Linked DNA regions of Arabidopsis thaliana. The protein of the gene in region 2 interacts with the protein of the main gene of each other region in a pairwise test. Each region holds a gene or a part of one and is shown on either strand. Other genes may lie near its edges.

Region 1 (8,352 bases), on a different chromosome or scaffold from region 2:
GAAAGTGAAGAGAGGATAAAGAAGAGAGAGTGATGGTCGGAGAGAATTGAAGCCAAACCCGAAAACTGTATAAGAAACCAAAAGACCTCTCTCAAAGTCTCAAAGTAATTCCGTTAAACTCTCTCTTCCTTTATTCGTGCGGCACAAAGAGATAGAGAGAGAAGATGATGATGAAGGAATTGGAAAATTCCAGGTCGGGGCTTAGAGGAGAAGAGACAAGAGAGAAGAGGGCTTCGTGTGATGAAAACACAGCTCATATATACGAATATGATAGAGAGAGAGGCAGCAGAATTAATTCACCTCCCTTTTTTTTTTATCTTTTTTACCTTTTAATTACAATTTGATTTTCTGCATTTTTATTGATTTGAATACCATTATACATTATTACAATGTTTCAATATATTTTACCGCAATTACATTTTAAGACTATTGATTTTTTCTTTTGTTAGTGTTAACTTTAATACAGATTGGTATTTCCATATTGTTTCTCTTTGTTGTTACTCCATTAAATAGTAAAATGTTGTCAGGAGAATTTCATTTATCTCAACCATAAAAACGTTATGATCCAAAATTCAGCCATTGTTGTTTGTTTCTTCTTTTTCATGCTTTAGGAAAAAAAAATGTTACACTGAACAATTGTTATAATATTGTGCATTTAAATCTGGTATTGAGGTTTAGTTGAAATCTATTCAATTAGGCACAAACTCATGAAAACAGTTTGATTTTCATATATATACAATTATAAGTTTATATTATTTTGGTTGAATTGAACATTAAGAGACTGGTCTTTAATAAAAACTTAAAAGTTACTCTTTTGAAAGTACTGAAATTAGAAAGAAAGGAGATATATGTCGACCATGTTGAATATAGGAATCTGCATCCCTTTGTACAACTCCTTTCCTTTTTTATCAACTTCTTCACTACACTTTCAGTTTAACGTTTTCACCCCCATAGAAAATACTTTAGAGAAGTTTAGATGAAACTTATTTTTAGTGAGATGAGACTTTGACGAGTAAACCAAAGAAGGCAGAAAGAAAAGAAAAAAAGAGGAGGCTCGAGTAACTTGACGAGACGCTCATTTGGACCCAACCAATAATTTGATTGATTAGGTATTACGATTCTTTATTACTTCTATTTATTGATAATTTCATTTGTTATGATATTTATGTTCCAATTGGAACATTCTTTGTTTCATTAAAACTGATGTTTGAAAATTCCTCATATAAAATGACTTGAGAGTTTCAACATCACCCAAATATCCACATCCTCAGACAGACAGTTTGGAAATATGGATCCCAATACCATCGGTGGGTTTCGAAGTCTCTCGGTTTTATAACCCAACAAAGGAGGAGAAAGAACATCTATGCATAACAGAGTAATGCCGGCAAAAAGCCCACCATGATTTTTTGTTGGTTAATCTTTATCTAAGCCCATTAATGTTTTATTACGTACAACCCCTAGAAGATCTCTCTCATGATTTTAGAGGTAATAAACAATCAAATATACTCACAAAACTGAATTCTAAAAAGGGTAATCCTTTTACAGGTTAAAACAAATTCAGAATTAGAGCCTCAAATTGAACCCTTTGAATTGAGACTAATCTTTGTTTTCATTTTCAATAGATAGAAGCTAATCTTTGAAACTTTCATACTCATATCTTTATTCTAAGCTAAAACTACCGAAGATACTCCTTCCCTAGCGACCTGATTTTTGCTGGAGAGAAATAGCAGTCCAAGGAGTTAATCGCTGTGGACTTGGCCGCCCCACCACCGTAGGAGTAGTAGTAGTGGAAGGAGCAGCGGTCACAGTGGCGGCAGAGGAGGAGACACGTTCGCAAGAAGGGCACATGGTGAGAGTAGTAGGAGGAGTCATGTGCATGTAGAGATGTGGAGACAACTTCAACGCCCTCAGCTCCGACACTTCTTTCTGCAGCCGTCGATTCTCCTCGGTCAGATTATCGCAACATCTCTTTAAATACTCACAATCAACCTCCGTTTGTTTCAGCTTCGTCCTAATGTACGTACAAATAATAAATCAAAATCACCTTAATTAGTGAAGTGAACAGAAATAAAAGTTTAAAACTGATAAGAAACAAAAAAGGACAAAAGTAGATTTTATTTGTACGCATACGCATGCATGTGTCTTTAAGGCTGTAGTAAAAAGTAAGAAACTCCATGTGACAGTACAGAGGCAGAGATCTTATTAGGATTTTCTTTTAGGACAGGGAACTGAAATCGCTTTTGGGTCATAAAAGGACAATTATATCCCCATCATAGCAATTACTAAGGTTCTGTGAAACCAAATTTCCTATAATACCCCTAGAAAATAAAGATAATTTCTTTACCTTGCCCTACGGTTCTGAAACCACACTTCAACTTGTCTTGCCCTTAGATTCAACTGTTTTGCTAGAGCCAGCTTTTGCTTCTGCCCAATCCGATAATTAAAAAAAAAAAAAAAAAAACCAATTTTAGTCTTTTAGAGAGAAGCCAATTACAAACGTCCATGCAATAAGAAGTGACAAATAACGAAAATGTAATTAACTGAATTTATAAGTTAGATAAAAATTACACAAAATGCCACTAACCGGATTAAGAGTGCTATGTTCTTTAAAAGTCTCCTCGAGAACAAGAGCTTGATCCTTCGATAACCGTAGTTTCTTCCTTGATCCGTCGCCGTTTCCGCCGTCTTCATCGTCGCTACCACCGCTTCCCCCTCCGCGTGAGCAAGAAGCTCTCTCCGCCTCGTTTTCATCTCCTCCTCTCGCCACCGCAAGATCCCTTTTATTTCCACTCAGACTCGAAACGGCGCTGTTTGGAGACGAGACGACGGCGGCTTCTTCTTCCAAGTCCACTACCGCCACCGAAGACTGAGCTCTGTTCACGTTGAAACCTCTTAGAAATGACCCGGCGTCGGAGTTTCTCTCTGCAGTTGTACGTTTAATCCCTAGAGTACATCAAAACCCGAAAAACGTTTTTAGCTTCAGTTTCGTAAATTACTAAAACAGAAATATCTTTATTTAAAAAAGAATCGGATCTGAAACATAGATCCGAAGTTATGCACATAAAACAGAATTTCAACACATTTAATGCTTAAAAAAACATTATATTAAAACGAGAAATAGAAAAGTATTACCAGAAGATTGAAACAGATGAGTCCAAGAGATGTTATGAATCTTCTGGGGATGGCTATTGTTATTCTGATTGTGCATGTGTTGAAACGAAGAAGAAGAAGAAGAAGTTGTCAACGGCATAAGATTCAACCTCAGAGATGGTTCTTTTTGTTGACTATTTCCCAAGCTTAGACTCAAACCCAACCCATCATCTCTTTCCCCCATTGTCCTCAACAGAAAGAACTTTTCTTTTCTGGATTTTGAAAGACTTTCTCGAGAAAATCGATGTAGTGATAATGGGGTTAAAGACACGACTAATATATATATACACAGAAGTTGATATGTAGACAATTAATAGAGAGAAGGGGTTATGTGGGGTGCTTGGGGTTTCAATGATGACTTGTGTCAGAAAGACCCTTGTAATTTCAATGATGATATATACTGTTACCTGCTCCTCTCTCTTTAAAAAAAAAAAAAAAAAAAAGTCATTCAACTCCAATGCGTTTAATTTTTTCAATACGTTTGACAAATGAATTTTTGTTCATTTTCGTCCTAAAAGTCAATAACAAACGTTAACATTTTAATACCTAAAATCTCAGTTATTTTTTTGTCTTTGACAGTAATAAGTACTGTATTTGGTTATGGTACAACGTTTTAAAAATGATGCTTAACTAATCAATCATTTTTTATTCTCGAAAATTCATATTTCGAACTTGATTAGCTTATAAAACCCATTATTAAATTATTTTGGGAAGTAATGCACACGCTTTGTAGATCTACTAAACAATAATAGTAGTATAACAAAGATCTTTGTTTGAATACTCTTTTTATTTCTTAAAACCATGAGATGGTATTTTAACAAGAAAAGACAGATGTATATGGTAAAGTAGCGTCGCTCGTGTAGAACAAACGTGAGTAAGAACGCGTGGAACTGAATAGAATGGCGTTGGGCTCAAAATGGGTATGGTAGTCAGAAAACGATGTCGTCTTTGATAACACAGAGCCTAATACTGCATGGGGTTTTAAGACTCTAGAGTTACCCCGTGAACCCAACATGCATCTAATTAGTCTTCAATTAATTTATTATTCCCTTTTCCAAAAACTATCCTTCGAGTAATTCTTTTGGTCAACTAATAAAAGCAATATTCAAGTTTTTCCATTGAATTTTATGGCTAAATCAAATAGCAAACGGACATTTGGAAAACATTAGTGGATGGTAGAGTTTACGGCTACTTCCTGTCATTGAAACAATAATTTTTGGTTTATGTTTCCTTTCTATTGTTTTCAAAGTTGTTGATAATGCCATCATTATTACTACTTCAGTTTCTTTGAGAGTTACAGACAAGACAAGACAGGTCTCGTTTGTTAATTAATTTTAAAGTTAAATAACGCCCGACGCTTTTTCAAAACAAATTAATTACTTTCAAATTTATTCTTAATGACTATATATTGACTTCTTATGTATCTTCAATCAATGCGGTCTTTTCATTGACTCTTATAACTTGCTTTGACCTTTCTTATAAACTTTTCTTGGTAAATTACGTTTAGAAAATTGATTTTATTTTGGAGCCTAATTGGTTAGTTGACTTGATTGATAGTATAGTACTCTGAAAACAATAGTTATACAAACAAATTATTATATTCCTAAATTTTCTTGTAAGCTTTTTTGCTCAAAGCTACAAAGTATGTATTTATTGATAAATGAATAAGGGGTTTGAACTAAGTTAGCATGGGTTTATGATATATGAGCCGTATCATGCATATTAATGTAAAGTTTGTTGCAAGTTACAATTCATAACCCATGTTCATTAATTATATACAGTTGTTTCTAAGCTTATACTGTAATCTATTTTTCCCCAATTCTCCTGGCATTCTTGAATGTTTTAAGGAAAATCAGACAAGTGTTTTTTTTATTTGTCTTTTTGTCTAGAAAACGTATGTATGTATGATTCTGCTTTGTTACATGGCTATGCTATATTTTTGTATGAATGTTTCATGATAAAACTACATGAAGTGTAACTAATATGAAAAAGAAAATATATCGTTACTACATCTTCGTTCTCCGTGAAATTCGTACAAATTAATTCATTTGTTTTCACGATTGGTTGAAATATGTTTAAGAGCTGATGATGTATTGATGTTTCAGTACATTGCATATTTAAGAATGTGAAATTCTGGAATGAAGCGTGTGAATGGTGTGGGAGAGAGTGTAGAAGAAGTAAAGCAAGAGATTCAAAGGAAATAGAAGAAGTGGTGGTCACGTGGGAAATGGGAAGGGGTTCACGTGGGAAGTTGCCAACGTGGCAGAACATGGTCCCCAGTGACCACACTCGTGCGGCGTAATTTTTGTTCCTCCACGACCAGACATTCACTTCTCTTTAATCATTGGATACTTCTCTCCTCCTCCGACTCGATGGTTCCTAACAATTCCACGCGCTCACTCTCGCGTAATTTTTCCTGTAAAAATCGCTGTGATTTTTTTTTTTTTTTTTTTAAATCGTTGAGAGAATTTAAAGAAGAGAACGTTAGAAGATACTCGATAAGATCTTTAGCAAAACAAAAAACTCAATATATTAATACACGTAAATATGAGTTAAATTGTGGATATGAGTATATTTACAATATGGTTTGAGTTTTGTTATAACTGTATGGCGAGGGAATTAATTTAAAGATATCAGTTCGGTAAGAGACAGCTACGAACAGGATCCGGTGAAAACCGGCCAAAGCAACCAAAGCCCATGTTGTACCAACAACGAGAGTTTCTGAGGTAATCATGCATGAATATAAATCCTTATCATACTTACTTAATTCAAGAGTTCAATAATTTTGATACATCTACATTTTTAAAAAGAAGATACACAATTTGGTCCCACGTGTGTGTCCATAACCATGTGCATTTATAATTATACATATATTAATGTAAAGTATCAATTTATATTCTGTTATTAGCAAAAAAAATATATATAAATTTTGATCTTTGCTCAACATTTTTTTTTGACACGGTAACAACTAACAACTGAAATCTGTTGCTCATCGGCATATTTTTATTCGTATAAATCACTCACTATCAATGACGTCAAAAAGAAAAGAAAATCATTCAACCATAGTTCTACTGTTTAGTCCATCCATCAATGTTATTGCTTGCTGAGCCAATTTAATCATTACAAAATAATTATGATATTTTCACGTACCACATGATTGTATCGACGTATCTAACAATTTACTCGAAATCATTACACATGTCCACGTGGGAAGCCCGTCACTTATTTTGGTCCGTTCCAAGATTTGATTGATTCTTATAATTTATTATTTGCTATCCGTGCAATCTGTATTAATAATAACATATGCTACGTTTTGAACACTAAAACATAGGGATACGCTGGAAAGGTGTGTAAGATATTAGAATTTCAGAATAACAGCTGTTCACATGCATGCAGAAATTATATTTATAAACAGAGATCATAAAGGCATACATAATCTAAGTAGCATTTATAAGAACTAAGGTGATCGATCGAACACTGAATTGAATTATATCAGAATGAACTTGCCGCCTTATCGGTGCTTTTTTAAAAAGTCGACGAAATATCTAGTGAATTGATCCGATAGAAAAAAGATGTCTTTAGATCAAATCGTTCGACAAATTTTTTCTTTCAAATATATAAATCCTAGACAAAATATATCTCAAAACGTCTGGACTCTGGATAGTTCAACTAGCTAGTTACCAAATTAAAATCTTTTGAAATAAGACTTTACTATGGTATAAGTTTTAAATGGTGACGGTCACAAGATGAATCGTATATGAAACTATAACACAATTGAATGCTGTTTTGTTTTTTGTTATTGACAGTTTTCGGATTCGCAACTTGTAACCATCTGAACCCTAATATTAATCATAGTTAAGGACTGAAAACAACAGCATCGAGCGTATTTCCGTTGAACAATCTTTACGAAATCCAAAATAAATAAATAAAGTTAAAAAGCAGAAAGTTTCAAGATTCAAAAAAAAAGTTAGCGAGGAGACATAGCGAGTGAGAGCCACGTGACTAAGATGTGTAAAGAATGGAGTGAGGAGAAAAAAAAAACAGACAAAGGACTTAAAATTAAATTAGATACGCCAGCGTTTCACGTGGGAAGTCACGTGATTGAGTATCCACGTGTCAATCCCACAAGTGAAATAATAGACGGGTTCCCATTGTCCTACCTTCGCACCACCCCCGCGCGTGTCTCTTTGCCTCTCTCTCACCGGACACCAATCATTTGATGCGACACGAGCTTCTTCTACGTAATTACATTTATACCCCTTAGCCTCCTCTCATGATGTTATGATCACACAGCCTCGATCCAATGCGTTTTGGATTGTGTGTGGGTGTCCAGCTGTTATCCATGTGAATTGCACGTGATCTCGCTTTGTTTGAGAAATTAGATTTCATTGCACTAAAATTGGTAGAGAGACAATTAGAACTTGAGTGATGGATAATTCGTCTTTTCTTAAGACGATATCTATTTAACTATATTAGACTTATGAACAAAACTAAAAATTTCATTTGAAATGTACTATCGCTCAAGATCTCAAGGCCTTCATATTGTTCTTTTTTTTTTTAATCAAAATTTTAAGTAATATCAATTATAAGTGGTTTTTAGATTATAGATTTTTGGTTTTGGTCTTTGGATTTTACACAAAAGAAGAAATAAAATAAATGGAAAAATATATAAAATAAATAAATTCAAATGGTAATTCTAAAAACTAGTAAATATGGTTTTTGGATTTTGGGAAAGAATTGACAAAATCTCTTTAAATCTAGATTCTCTAATTTTTAGGAAATCATTTTTATTATAATCTTGAATGAGTAACAAATTGTTTTTTTCCAAAATCAAAAACTAAAAACCATTTCAGAATCTACAAACAATAAAAAAGTCTTAATATTTGCATATAAGTCAAACTGGTGGTATCTGGGTTAAACTTAACAAAATGTGTTGGGCCTAAATAAGCTCAATTAAAACGGGCCTTTTCTCAAGTACACCGGTCAAAATCAAATTTTATCCACAAGGAGTCGCTTTTGGCTTATCCACTGAAACAAAGAGACTCGTTGGATTCGTGAAGCCGAAAAAAAAAAAAAAATGGTAATTCTCAGCAACGTCTCGTTGTTCTCCTGCTGCAACATCTCTCAGAAACCATCTCTCTTTTCTCCGTCTTCTCGTAGTTCTCATTGTCCCATTCGTTGCTCACAGTCACAGGTAACCTC
Region 2 (8,352 bases):
ATCTCGGTCCCTTTTTCAGTCCTTGAGAAGAGGAGGATGATGATGCAGCATTGCTATTTGTTGAACCAGCAGCTAACTCAGCATCTAACCATTTATGAGCCATCACTTGACATATACCTTCTTCAACATCTTGGCTCAGTGTTCGGAATCCTTTTTAAGACCAAAACGAAACAAGGTTTCAACAATGTGATCAACAGAAAGAAGCAGTAATATAAGACGTTAAGAGGAGTAGTAAGAAATTCACCTTTGAGCCTCATCCACGCATGCATCATCTCATGAGCTAGAATCGAACCAGTAAGTAACCTGAACAAAATTCAGCAAAACCATCAATGCTTGAACTGTGACATAAGATCAATTCAATGGAAGCAAAAAGAGTCTTTTTTACCTAGGGAGCCCGAATAAGATGAGAATGGCGGTAACTTCACATTGCCGTGTTAACTTGTAAGGTTCTGTAATATTCCCGGCCCATTTTCCTGTGCCATGCTTTGATCGCTTTCTTACAGTACTAACAGTTTGTTCTTCTGAAAGGCAGAGTCCTCTTGTTTCTGGCATGTGATAGTGACCCTAAGAAGCAAAATGAAAAGGTTTAATACTTTAGAAACAGAATGTGATAATAATTTCAAGTATTAGCTTAGTACTGGATAATTGTCTTTTCTTTACTTACATTCTTTTCACCTTCTCTGGCTTCGTTAAGTGCTTGTCTCTCAACCAAGAGGAGTGGAACTTCCTGCTCTACCTTCATGTTGAGTCCTTCATAGAAATTTTGTATTTGCAAGTACAGAGGTTGGCATTGCATGGTGTCCATGACCGCCGAGTCCAAACACTCAAGGCAAAGTTTCCGTCCATCGTTAAGTTCAACATATCTCGTATTCCGTGGCTACAAAGTATAGCTAAGTTGTCAATTACCGGCTAAAAAATGTTTTCACTTTTGAGTAGATGATGTATGTTTGGGGACATATTAGAGGAGAAGAAAACCCACCTCCATTCTTTCACAACTGCAACATCTCGGGGTAGCATCGTGTTCGTGAGAAGGACAATACTTCTGAACCCAAAAAGGATGTGCCCTATATTCAATAAGACCAGCATGATTTGTTGGTATCTGTTCAAAGAATTTACATTCGGGAGAAAAACAAAGCAACAGACGATAAGTGTAAGATCCGGAACAAAACAACAACACATGAATATATTTATGGGCTAAAATGATAGAAAAGGAAAGAGGTTTACGTACAAAGTGGCTGCAGACATCACATTTAGGATGATATCTCTCCCTGTAACAAGCCTTGTGAAAAGGGTAGTTCCCTGATGTTGAAAACTATAGGAAAAAAGGGAAACACATTACAAAAGAAAATCTAAAGGTTAAGTAGAACCAGAAAGCAAATGAAGAGGATATGGAAGAGAGCTTGGTTTCACCTCGTACTCAGAAATCGGCTGACTGCAGCCATAACATCGAAAACATTCTGGATGCCATAGTGAATTAAGGCAATTCAGAAATCTTCCATGGCCAATCTCCATATTACAGCCAGCACAAATCCTATGCAGACAAGTTGTTGACAAGTTATTTGGCTGCTGGACACTAAACTAACACATCGACCAAATTAAGCCAGCTAAATATGATTGGCTATCTAAATACCTGAAATCCATTTGAAAAGTAATAGGTCTTGGATAATAAATATCTCCATTTGCATATACATTTCCTCCTCCATACATATGTCCATTCCCATATAAATCTCCAGCTCCATATGCATTCCCATTATCATATGTACTTCCACTTTTGTGACGGGGTGAATTCCCAACTACCATACTTTCTTGTAGGGCTCTAGCAAGTTGCTCATCTTCATCCACCGGCATCGAGTATTTCCCTGTGTCCATTACTTTTTTTAAAGGAATTGTAGCAAACCGAATCCGATAACAAAACCATGTCTTCATATATCTGTTTTGGCTAAAACAATCCTGAAAATGAACTCACCGCTTATACTTGTCTGTTCTTGATTCTCTTCTAAAAGCGACAATGCAATTGCACGGTCTATGTCTTCATTTTCCTGGTCATTCGATGTATTATCCTAGTAAAGAAAAACCACAAAAGTTGAAATAACAGTACAGACCAGAGCTATGATAAACCGTCAACTATATATGTGGTTCTTTTCACTACTTCATGATCCCCAAACTCACCTCAGATGTAGATGGTTCCTGAGTATGATGAGGTTCATCATTATCAGCATCTGTATCCGCCGCACTAGGCTCATCATCATGTGAAGCAGTCGGATAATTATCGTAATAAACATTGTGATTGTGCTTATTATTCCCAACCCGGAGCCTTTGGTTAGAGCCTTTAAAGATCTTGTTAAACCAACCCATAATGCCTAAATAAAACTATCTGCTCATACGGCAATGCAGCCTGCAAAATCGTCGAATCATCTCTGATTAGCAAAAACCCAAAACAAACTTGTTTCACTTCCAAACATCAAAAGCCACAGAACAATAGCACTTTGAATCTAACAACAATAACTAAACAACCCTAAAACCTGTCACCATTAAGCAAACGAGTTCCAAACGGATTTGTTTTTTGTTTTTTTTTTCAAAAAACCATGAAATTAGAATCCAGACATGGAATTATCAAGTAATTGCAGCTGCAAAGAAGCTAAAGATCGTCCCTTTACCTTGAGAAAATCCTGAATCAGATAAGATCCCAATAAGCTTCACGAAACCCCCACAAAATCCAGAATCACAAAAATGATCTAATCAAGCAAGGGAAGCAGCAAAAGAATCTCAAAAAGGACTCTTTAGTTCTCTCCTTTCTTCAAAATTTGGGGAAGAATCTATAACATGGGGGAAAAAAAAAAAAAAGAGAAAAGAAAAGAAAAAAGGAAATTAAACTTTTTTTATATAAAAGAATGCAACTTTGACAAAATCAATGTCTACTCATACACGAATAAACCCAGAATGTGCTTGAATTCTACGCTAATCCAAAGTCAAAAAATTTGGTGCACTCACAAAAAAAGAATAAAAATCGTATTTTTATTTAATGAGGATCACGAAGAAGAGATCGAGAGTATCGAATATTTTGGAACGAAAAAAACAAAAGAGGAGAAATGAATTAAAAAGTCTTCGTGTCCGAAGTTTTTTGGTCGTTGAGCTTGTTGAGCTCTTCTTCTTCTTCTTCCAGGAAAAAACGTTCCCCACGCTGTGATTTAGAGATAGAAAGAGAATTATAATTATACTATTACGCAATTTAAAAGTCAAATAATTATTTTGTTTTGGCAATTTCTTCCATTTTGCAACGTTTATGCAAATATCTAGATATTTAATATTTAATTATTGCTTCAAGCCTTAAACCAAATCTTCTACAAGTCGTAACGCATTTATCCGGATTGTCGGGTTCTAATTCTAATAAGATTTTATATATTTTTGCTAGAAAACATTAAATATATTTTTTTTATAATTTTCCACTAAATTGTAAAATTATTTATAAATATATATTTTCTTTATTACTAAATGATTTATTTCTAAAAGATTAATCTTTTAAATTTTTCATGCAATATTTATTGGATAATATTAGTGAATTGTAATTTTCTAAAAAAATAGTTAATTATCATTGATTTAGAATAATAGAAAATTGTAAAACACAAAAAATAATAAATTTATAATCAATATTTAATATATATATTTTTTTAATATGTGTGTTTTTCTAAACATCAAACAAAAACGCATAAATACAAGAAAAAATGTATAAATACTAATTAACTGTTTAAACCGTTGTTGTTTCAATTAATTGTCAAGTTATCGAATTTTAGTTGATAGATTTTTTAACCAATACGATAATTAGAATTTGATTTGAACCAAAATCTAGGCTCCCATAACTCACTCACATTTTATTGATATGAAAATAATATTATTTAACTTTTGGCTTTTCAGCGTGATTTGTAATTTTACCAATTGCCAAATAATTCAGCAGAAAGCTAAGAAATGAGAAGAAAAAAAATTGAAAAAGAGAAGTACATATAATGAATTAATGATGTTATTACTTATTCCATATCGAAAAGGTGACAACAAAGGAAAAAAAGTTGAAGAAAAGATTAGGAAAAAGTTGGTGAGGCGTGGTTTTGTTAAAATATTACAAGCAAACACAATTTATTAATTTTATATCATAACTTTAAATTAGAAAGTAAAGTATAGAGGTGAAAAAAGATATGGAAAGGAAATTTGTTGATTTATGCAAAAAGTAAAAGTTCAATCATGTTTACCTTATTGACATATTATAATTTAGCATACACGTACGATATACATTACATGAATTCATAAATTATAAACTACATGTATGAGTGTCAATGTCACAATGTGATATCGTTCATCATCACTTTACAATATTATTAAACGAATAATTTGGTAATTAAGTATGTGAATTTCTTCTTTATACACTCGCGGAAGTTACGGTGACCACGGAAAGTGATAGCTTTTATGGGCTTTCACAGGCCCGTTATTATTTTGAATGTAAAAAAATCGTATCTCGTTTATAGGCTTTATAAGCTCATATATGTAACAAATTTTTACTTCATTATGTTTCTAACCAGTAACCACGACCTTTATATAAACCCGCATACATTACTTAACCACTAGCCGTCTATTGGATCCGACGATTTAGCTATTACTACTATTACATTCTTGAGATAGCTGAGTTTGGGTTTGTCATGAACAAGTTGTTCTTTATGTATGATACAACTTGTATATTACTTCATACCTCATTTTGGTTTGTAATACTGAAATCATTTGAGCCTCGTTCTTTTTTTTACGAAAGCTCTACCAAACCATTCAACTAGTTAGCTTATATTAATTTTCATGTCTTCTGCTTATTTTTAACGTTCAATGAAGTTGCAAATTACCTTATCTCACAAGTTCACACAACACTCATTTTATTTTTTACATACTCCAAGAGAAAGTTAATGGGCCTCGATTTTTTCTATAGGCCCATTATTATTTGAACCATTATGCTCCTATCGATATAAAAGTGTACTTTTGGTAATATTTTTGCTTAATCGTTTGATCATTTTGGTCGTAGAGTCTTTTATAGATATGTGACCCGTAAACTATGTTTAGCTTTCTTCTTCTTCTTCACATTTTGGGAAATTTTAATTCATTTTAGGTAGTCTGTCAATTTTTTACAGGTGATATAACTCTATCTGTGTTTTATTATTTAACGATTCAGTTACTGATCAAATTTCTATTCACTCTGGGGAATTTGATGTCCCTTGAGAATATGCTAAATGCTCTGCATGCTATTAACTTTATACTCACATACAGCTTTGATCCAAAGTGCCTACCCAACACACAGGGACGGAGCCAATGAAGAATTATAGGGGTCAAATGACCTCAGTGAACTTTTGGAAAATAATAGAATTTTTATTAAAAAATATTTATTGACCCCAGTCAAACAAAAATATTGACCCCTATGAATGATTTATTAAGGTACAAGTAAAACAAAGCTCAATAAAATTTTATGAATTATAAATACAAAAACCCAATAATTTTATTAAAATTATACTAATGTTAGGTCCAATAAAAATCTGTCAAATTAAGAAAGTAAAAAACCTAAATAATTGAACATGTGTCGTGGTAGCCAAAAACAATTTAGCTTCTTCCTCTTTTGTTTTTTATACAATCATCACATCCTTGAAAATCAGATTAAGGCTCGAGACTATAGATTTCAAGGTAAACTCTTTTATATATATATATATATATATATATATATATTTTATATAAAGTTTAATTAACTATCAACCAATTTCAATTTGATCACTTAAGCAAAATTCGTTTGTGATTAATTTAGTTTTTGGTGTTGTTATTCTGTCAAAAATTAAAAACTCAATTCGTCATTATTCATGAGTTTTCTTTGTAACGTTAGTCGTCAATATACTGTTTTCTTCTTAATTTTTGATGTAGTTTGTTTTAGTTTCTAATTTAATCTCACAGTAATTTTTACTAATGACAAAAATTAAAGTTGTCATGAATCATGATAAGGCCACGGAGAAAACAATTTTTATGTTTGATTTAAGTTTCAACTCATGATTTTTATATTGATTCTTATTTTTTGTATGTAGGCAAGGCAACAACAAAAATAATGTATCGGTTTCTGAAAAGAAAATCTCCGCCACCACCTGATATTAATTTAAATGAATTGCCAAGTGATCCCGCAAAGAGAAAAAGCATTCTAAGTTATCATCCTAATCAAAGAGATGAGGTACGACGTGAATATTTGATTAGGGGACCTTGTCAACCTCGTGGTCATAAGTTTAAACAAATAGCAATTGGAAAGGTGTTACGCCGTTTTAATCCAAAATGGTTTGATTTGTATGGTGATTGGTTGGAGTATAGTGTGGAGAAAGAAAAAGCTTTTTGCTTGTATTGTTACTTATTCAGAGATCAAACTGGAAATCAAGGAGGGAGTGATAGCTTTCTATCAACTGGTTTTTGTAGTTGGAATAAGGCTGATAGGTTGGACCAACATGTGGGATTGGATGTGAATAGTTTTCACAATAATGCAAAAAGAAAATGTGAGGATTTGATGAGACAAGGTCAGTCCATCAAGCATGCTCTCCATAAGCAAACCGATGTTGTGAAGAATGATTATCGAATCTGGTTGAATGCTTCCATTGATGTTTCTCGACACTTGTTACATCAAGGATTACCATTTCGTGGTCATGATGAATCAGAAGAGTCAACAAATAAGGGTAATTTTGTAGAGCTTTTGAAGTATACAGCTGGTCAGAATGAAGTTGTAAAGAAAGTTGTGTTGAAAAATGCTCCTAAAAATAACCAGATGACATCTCCACCAATTCAAAAAGATATTGTCCATTGCTTTTCAAAAGAGGTAACTAGATCTATTATTGAAGAAATGGATAATGATGTCTTTGGCTTGCTTGTAGATGAATCGGCTGATGCTTCAGATAAAGAGCAAATGGCAGTAGTTTTTCGCTTCGTTGATAAGTATGGGGTAGTTAAAGAAAGATTTATTGGTGTTATTCATGTGCAAGAGACATCTTCTTTATCTCTAAAAAGTGCTATTGATTCTTTGTTTGCTAAATATGGATTGAGTTTGAAAAAGCTGAGAGGGCAGGGATACGATGGAGCTAGCAACATGAAAGGAGAGTTCAATGGACTGAGATCATTGATTTTGAAAGAAAGTAGCTCTGCATATTATGTGCATTGCTTCGCTCATCAACTACAATTGGTTGTCATGGCAGTTGCAAAAAAACATGTTGAAGTTGGAGAGTTTTTTTATATGATTTCTGTTTTGCTAAATGTTGTTGGAGCTTCTTGCAAAAGAAAAGATAAGATCCGGGAAATCCATCGGCAAAAAGTGGAAGAAAAGATTAGCAATGGTGAAATTAAGACAGGAACTGGGTTAAACCAAGAACTTTCCCTTCAAAGACCTGGAAATACTCGTTGGGGTTCACATTATAAGACTTTGTTGCGTCTTGAGGAGTTGTTTTCATCTATAGTTATAGTTCTCGAGTATATCCAGGATGAAGGCACCGACACCACCAAAAGACAACAAGCATATGGTATTCTCAAGTATTTTCACACCTTTGATTTTGTTTTCTATCTGGAGTTGATGTTGCTTGTTATGGGACTCACTGATAGCTTATCAAAGGCTTTGCAAAGAAAAGATCAAGATATCTTAAATGCTATTTCATTGGTGAAAACTACTAAATGTCAGTTGCAAAAGGTTAGAGACGATGGATGGGATGCTTTTATGGCTAAAGTTAGTTCTTTTAGCGAGAAAAATAACACTGGAATGCTTAAAATGGAGGAAGAATTTGTTGATTCTAGAAGACCAAGGAAAAAGACCGGTATAACCAACTTGCATCACTATAAGGTGGATTGTTTCTACACTGTCTTAGATATGCAACTTCAAGAGTTTAATGACCGCTTTGATGAGGTGAATTCTGAACTACTTATTTGCATGTCATCTTTGAGTCCGATAGATTCTTTTCGTCAGTTTGATAAGTCCATGCTCGTGAGATTGACCGAGTTTTATCCAGATGACTTTAGTTTTGTGGAGCGTAGATCTCTTGATCATCAACTTGAGATCTACCTTGATAATGTGAAAAACGATGAAAGGTTTACAGATTTAAAGTGTCTTGGTGATCTTGCTCGTGTGATGGTAGAGACAAGAAAGCATCTTTCACATCCTTTGGTATATCGTCTTCTAAAGGTATCTTTGATTCTTCCTGTTGCAACGGCAACTGTCGAAAGATGTTTTTCCGCGATGAATTTTGTGAAGACTACATTGCGTAACCGTATCGGTGATATGTTCTTAAGTGATTGTCTTGTTTGTTTTATTGAAAAGCAAGCACT

What was found. The genes of interacting proteins can lie anywhere in the genome.
Region 1: the proteins of DA1 (region 2) and HB4 interact in a two-hybrid assay, tested with the Arabidopsis thaliana proteins (one large-scale study listed by BioGRID).

The regions. Positions count from the first base shown.
Region 1 is NC_003071.7:18,516,192-18,524,543, forward strand, and holds HB4 (homeobox-leucine zipper protein 4), read right to left. Parts: upstream 3,541-8,352; 5' UTR 3,335-3,540; coding exon 3,133-3,334; intron 2,944-3,132; coding exon 2,585-2,943; intron 2,425-2,584; coding exon 2,345-2,424; intron 2,012-2,344; coding exon 1,696-2,011; 3' UTR 1,465-1,695; downstream 1-1,464. Other genes in the region: AT2G44920 (Tetratricopeptide repeat (TPR)-like superfamily protein), read left to right, coding at 8,228-8,344. UniProt on the Arabidopsis thaliana protein: Probable transcription factor.
Region 2 is NC_003070.9:6,657,330-6,665,681, reverse strand, and holds the start of DA1 (DA1), read right to left. Parts: upstream 3,266-8,352; 5' UTR 2,658-3,265; intron 2,396-2,657; 5' UTR 2,356-2,395; coding exon 2,170-2,355; intron 2,061-2,169; coding exon 1,967-2,060; intron 1,860-1,966; coding exon 1,631-1,859; intron 1,532-1,630; coding exon 1,411-1,531; intron 1,313-1,410; coding exon 1,229-1,312; intron 1,100-1,228; coding exon 980-1,099; intron 878-979; coding exon 665-877; intron 565-664; coding exon 386-564; intron 304-385; coding exon 245-303; intron 151-244; coding exon 1-150. Other genes in the region: AT1G19260 (TTF-type zinc finger protein with HAT dimerization domain-containing protein), read left to right, coding at 6,113-8,352. UniProt on the Arabidopsis thaliana protein: Ubiquitin receptor that limits final seed and organ size by restricting the period of cell proliferation. May act maternally to control seed mass. Acts synergistically with DA2 to regulate seed size.